Linked DNA regions of Saccharomyces cerevisiae S288C. The protein of the gene in region 1 interacts with the protein of each later gene in a biochemical or structural test. Each region holds a gene or a part of one and is shown in the gene's direction. Other genes may lie near its edges.

Region 1 (3,079 bases):
TGGCTAGAATTGGGCGGAATGAAAAAAAAAAACTATGTCCATCGCTTTACTAATTAGTGATCGCACCAAGAAAAACGAGCTGTACATTGCAATTGTACCTCTTTTTTTTTTCCTACTTAGAATCCCAATCGTAATTAATTCACTAAATTAACATCCTTAAAATGAAATTCGACAATGACAGTGAGAAGCAGGTTTTCGATAAGCTTAAAAAAGCGATTCCTGGTATTATCAAGGAAAAATGTGCAGGATACGATGAATTGTATGGTTACAAGTTGAATCCTGAAGGTCTTACACAAGAGGAGGTTGATAAATACTATGACGAAAAAATCGCCGATCGTCTAACCTACAAACTTTGCAAAGCCTATCAATTTGAATATAGCACCATTGTACAGAACCTGATCGATATTTTGAATTGGAGGAGGGAATTCAACCCATTGAGTTGTGCCTACAAGGAAGTCCATAATACAGAATTGCAAAACGTTGGTATTTTGACATTCGATGCAAACGGCGACGCAAATAAAAAGGCTGTCACTTGGAACTTATACGGCCAACTGGTCAAAAAAAAAGAATTGTTTCAAAATGTGGATAAGTTTGTACGCTACAGAATCGGGCTCATGGAAAAGGGTTTGAGCTTATTAGATTTCACCAGCTCCGACAACAACTATATGACCCAAGTCCACGATTATAAAGGCGTCTCCGTGTGGCGAATGGATTCTGACATTAAAAACTGTAGCAAGACGGTCATTGGAATCTTTCAAAAATACTATCCAGAACTGTTATATGCAAAGTATTTTGTTAATGTCCCCACCGTTTTCGGCTGGGTTTACGATTTAATCAAAAAGTTCGTTGACGAAACCACCAGAAAGAAGTTCGTGGTATTAACCGACGGCAGCAAGTTGGGTCAATACTTGAAGGATTGCCCATATGAAGGGTATGGCGGGAAAGATAAGAAGAACAATCTGACCAAGCAAAATGTCACAAATGTCCATCCAACAGAATACGGCCTTTACATTTTACAAAAACAAATCATCGAGGACGTTGAGTGATTTGTTGGCATGATCTAATAATAGTCTCTTATATAAACCCTATAATAATTTCTTATTTTTGCCTTATATTCAGGTAAATCACCATCTAACTGTATTATCTCTCACGTATCTTCACTTATATGGCTCAGAAAACACCGTACGAAACGAAGGGGCTGCGAAAATGTTTCTAGAAGGTAATGGCAATAATAGGGATACAGATCGATCAGATCCGCCTATATAAAAGACAACGCACCGAAGGTGAACAAGATCGCAGATAAAGGTATTTACAAGGGAAAAAAGTCAGCAAAAACAAGAGATAAGATAACAAGAAGAAGATGTTAAGGAGGGAAACTTCAACAATATACAGGACACACAAAAAAAGCAACAGTAGTATACTCAGGAGCCAGCGGGACCAGACTAGAGTGGATTCCTTGGTAGAGGAGTCTCCCATGGGCGATTTCGGGATCAATAACCAGCCTACACAGCCTGGCGTGATATACTACTTTGTAGAGCTGACTAATTTAGGCATACAGGAAAACACAAGCAGTAATAATAACAACAACAATAATCATGGTGACGATGAAAACGGCAGTCGATACGGCCACGGCAGCAGTCTGGGTGGAGACGTTCACTCTCGCCGTTGTTCATGAACTCCAGCATTATAAAGCATATCTAACAATACCATTCGGGTTATACTGAATAGCCCACGCACGGGTTCGGGGTTGTAACGATTATATGCATTTCATAACATGCCACTGTCAGTGGCGCCACGGAAGGATAGCGGGACTTTATCAAATCATTAATTTCTGTGCATAAAGTGTATAGTATATTCATATAGATATGTATATATATCATTGAATACAGAAATCTTCGGGTGTATACAACGAACATTCATCGGACGCCTTTTTTACTGCTATTGTTCAACAAAGTGGGTAACCCGGCATTCTTGCGCCAAAGTTTCCATTTTTATGCCAAATCCAGAGGATAAAAGCACTATTCTCATCAAAAGATGGAAAAGCTGTGAAAGAGTCAAGTTCAGAAGAAAGCGTTAAGAAAAATAGAGTACACGGGAGCGTTATGTCAGCCGATCATTCGAGAGATCCATGTCCTATAGTCATACTAAATGATTTCGGTGGTGCTTTTGCCATGGGTGCCATTGGTGGTGTTGTTTGGCATGGGATTAAAGGTTTTAGAAATTCGCCATTAGGTGAGCGTGGTTCAGGAGCTATGAGCGCCATTAAAGCGCGTGCTCCCGTACTGGGTGGTAATTTTGGTGTGTGGGGTGGTTTATTTTCGACTTTTGATTGCGCTGTGAAGGCCGTTAGAAAGAGAGAGGACCCATGGAATGCTATCATTGCAGGGTTTTTCACTGGTGGCGCTTTAGCTGTAAGAGGTGGTTGGAGGCATACAAGGAACAGTTCGATCACGTGTGCTTGTTTGTTGGGTGTGATTGAAGGTGTGGGACTAATGTTTCAAAGATATGCTGCTTGGCAAGCCAAACCTATGGCTCCTCCTTTGCCCGAAGCACCTTCCTCTCAACCTCTGCAAGCTTAGGCATGTAGACATTATATGAGCCATTTTTTCATCGTTGTTGGAAGTACCCTTATTCGGCATGTTTTTTGTTACATAAATGACGTATCGCACTAGCCTCCTTTACGTTTTTACTTTATTTCAGCCTTTTATTTCAAGATTACCAACCATTTCTCTCAACCATGTACATATTATATATTGAAAAAGTACCATACTTCATCTCTGAAGAGAAAATATCAACAAGCCAAAAGCTAGTGCAGAAACTTTATAATGTTACTTTATTAATTGTAATGACTATACGTATAAGGAAAATTAAGAAAAGGCAAAATTCATATTTATTTAGTATATCATTATGGCACCAAGCCGTAATAAAATGAAATGGGTAGTTAAGAAAAGTCAGACAAAATAACGATTTATTCTTCGACAATGTGAAGTTTATTGAACGCGCTTGTTGGCCCTTCTTGAACAGAATGAGTAACAGCAAAATTATTGGAGATGTCGCCAGATGTATTCTCCTTCCTTTT
Region 2 (2,924 bases), on another chromosome or scaffold:
ATTTTTCACGCGATGAGGAGACAAAAAAGCATCAGGTATTTAATGGATAAATCACCTCCAAAACTATTCCATCAACTATATAAAATTATCTCAGCGCGATGGTGAGAATGTTTGAATGCTAAAAAATGTTATACATTAGGATTGTTATTAGAATAGTGTGTTGAAGGCTCACATTTGCTCACTATATAAAATGACGGCTTTCATACAAGTTTCGAAGCCAAATAACCGTATCACGTCACAAATACGTTTCTTGACATTCGGAGGTTCGCTATAAAAGTTAATTAATGGTCGAATCCCCTCCGTTTCGATTTCGAAGAGAAATAGTCTTCCCTCCAGGTCAGTGATCTTGCCAGATTGCATAATGTCCAGCAATTCCCATAGCGGGAGTAATCCCGGCACCACATTAGGAATACCATTTGGAGCATGGCCATTGTGTTCTTTCAAATGGTAGATGGTATCTAAATCTTCCTCTTCGTACGGTATACCGTAAAGTTCTTTCAATTCCAATGCAGATTCATTTGCAGATTTAAACGCACACCCTCCCACACCGTATATTTCCTCAGCAATATTCTTGTACTTGACAACATTATCAGTGGGAAATCCCTCCCCTCTTCCGGTTTCAGAGTCAACGAGGTAGAGCTCCTTAGTAACTTTCGTCTCTTCTTCACCTATGACAAAGAGTTTGCCCCTAGAAATCATATCCTGAATGGGTTTCAATGGGATATATTTACTGTGACACACATCCAGTACTTCCGCACCATAGTTTGCTTTATAATTCATCTTCGGACAGTCCTCAATATAGTACCCCAGGTAATAGTATTGCAGATTTGTCCTTTGAATGATGGCAAGATCGCGCAAAGCACTGAGCTTCCCTAGGGACCATTTACTGTAGTCTGGATCCCAAATAAAATATACCGAAGATATACCACTGGGCAAGATATCTGACACAGTGATGGCAATTAATTTACCCTCATAGTAGTAGCATTCGTGCACAGGACCCATATGCTTCAGTTTCTCGCCTGGCTTCATTCGCTGCCAATTGTTTAACTGCTCCCATGATTCTTGTGTCCCCAACACCGCTTCAGGGCCAAAGGGCGTATCACATAGGAATCGCTTAAAGGACTTCGGCGAATTATTGTAGTCTTGATGCACTTTTTCCTGATATTTGACAAATAAGTGATACTTTTCTTCACTATAAAGTGCAGGCTCAAATCGGGTATAGAATGTTTTAGAATTCATCTCTGCATTAACAATTTTGCCCACAAAATCACTGCTTGCAACAGCGGCTGGGCAGTAGTCCTCACTTGTTATTCTAGTAGCAAAGCGGCTGATGCATTTTTTCAATTCCTTTGTCATATTCAATTCTTGAGGGGCAGTTCGAATGGTGTATAACCTACAACAATTCCTCAACGGGTCCACTTTATAAAGAAACTTACCAGACCTTCTAAATCCCATATTACACATGCGATCATACGTGGCTACATCCATATGTTCCACGAAAGAGCCAATTGTGCAGTTTTCAATCTTTACAACGTCCATTTTGTTCATATAACGATGAGCCCACGAATCCAATGCGAACAACTGATCCATGTTGCCCCCCTTATTACCGTGACAATACCCACACTTTGCGGCAGGTTCATTGTGCATCGAGGGAGCCCAAATAACGAATCTATCGGACATAATTGTGCTTCTTCTCAGTTGTATCTTGAGACTATCTTGTCTTTTGTAACAATAGCAATGAAACTCACAGCGTAATTCTTAACAATAGGTAAAAAAAAAACGAAAAAGAAAAGGAAACTAAAAAGATGATGCGAAATTAAAGGCTGAGGCTGATAATGGAAACAGGTATCAAGAAGCCCCACAAGCACAATGTTGAAATACTTGGTTCAACGAAGATTCACTTCTACATTTTACGAGCTGTTCCCAAAGACCTTCCCCAAAAAGCTACCCATTTGGACTATCGATCAATCCAGATTAAGGAAGGAGTATAGGCAATTACAAGCACAGCACCATCCAGACATGGCCCAACAAGGTAGTGAACAGTCATCAACTCTTAATCAAGCTTACCATACTCTCAAAGATCCCCTTAGAAGGTCACAATATATGCTAAAACTCTTGCGCAATATCGATTTGACGCAAGAACAGACCTCAAATGAAGTAACTACCAGTGATCCACAGTTACTATTGAAAGTTCTAGACATCCATGATGAATTATCCCAGATGGACGACGAAGCTGGTGTGAAGCTGCTTGAAAAGCAAAACAAGGAAAGAATTCAAGATATTGAAGCCCAGTTGGGACAATGCTACAATGACAAGGATTACGCCGCCGCAGTGAAGTTGACCGTGGAGCTAAAGTACTGGTACAACTTGGCCAAGGCATTCAAAGACTGGGCTCCAGGAAAACAATTGGAAATGAATCACTAAAGTACTCCAAAGTGGTAATAGTAATAATAATAATAGTGGTGATATAAAAACTGAAACAATGTAAATAGGTAAAGTACATATGTATATGGTAGGGCAAAGAGGAAAATAAATCAAGGGTTAAACCGCCGGTGTCTCGAACTCGCATTTGGCAAATTCTTCCCAGTCCTCCTCCGTGGATGGATATTGTCTCAACCACTTCATTCTAGGACCAGATACTGCCTCATCATTTATCCTGAACCCAAAAACTTTCAACTCGTAGGACTCTTTACTTTTCCTTTCCACATACTCTTCCAATTCTTTGAAATGTTTCAAGAACACACCAGGGAAGCTTGTCCCCCAAAATGCACCTTCTAAGCACAGGAATCTAGATGATTGGGGAAGATACAAGTCCTGACAACTGGGACAGTACAACCTTACGGTGTGTTTCCCAACTGTATCGCTCAACCCACAAGGCAGCAACTGCATGCCATTACAATAGTAACGGGGGCACGTTCCAAATT

The links. The genes of interacting proteins can lie anywhere in the genome.
Region 2: the proteins of TIM17 (region 1) and JAC1 form a complex in vitro, tested with the Saccharomyces cerevisiae proteins (one study listed by BioGRID).

The regions. Positions count from the first base shown.
Region 1 is NC_001142.9:144,999-148,077, forward strand, and holds TIM17 (protein transporter TIM17), read left to right. Parts: upstream 1-2,102; coding exon 2,103-2,579; downstream 2,580-3,079. Other genes in the region: SFH5 (Sfh5p), read left to right, coding at 162-1,046; ROQ1 (Roq1p), read left to right, coding at 1,361-1,675; IRC9 (Irc9p), read right to left, coding at 2,821-3,079; serine/threonine protein kinase YAK1, read right to left, coding at 2,969-3,079. UniProt on the Saccharomyces cerevisiae protein: Essential component of the TIM23 complex, a complex that mediates the translocation of transit peptide-containing proteins across the mitochondrial inner membrane.
Region 2 is NC_001139.9:458,610-461,533, reverse strand, and holds JAC1 (J-type chaperone JAC1), read left to right. Parts: upstream 1-1,869; coding exon 1,870-2,424; downstream 2,425-2,924. Other genes in the region: ATE1 (arginyltransferase), read right to left, coding at 169-1,680; casein kinase 2 regulatory subunit CKB1, read right to left, coding at 2,542-2,924. UniProt on the Saccharomyces cerevisiae protein: Co-chaperone required for the assembly of iron-sulfur (Fe/S) clusters in mitochondria. Stimulates the ATPase activity of its specialized Hsp70 chaperone partner SSQ1, to mediate the transfer of iron-sulfur clusters from ISU1 to GRX5.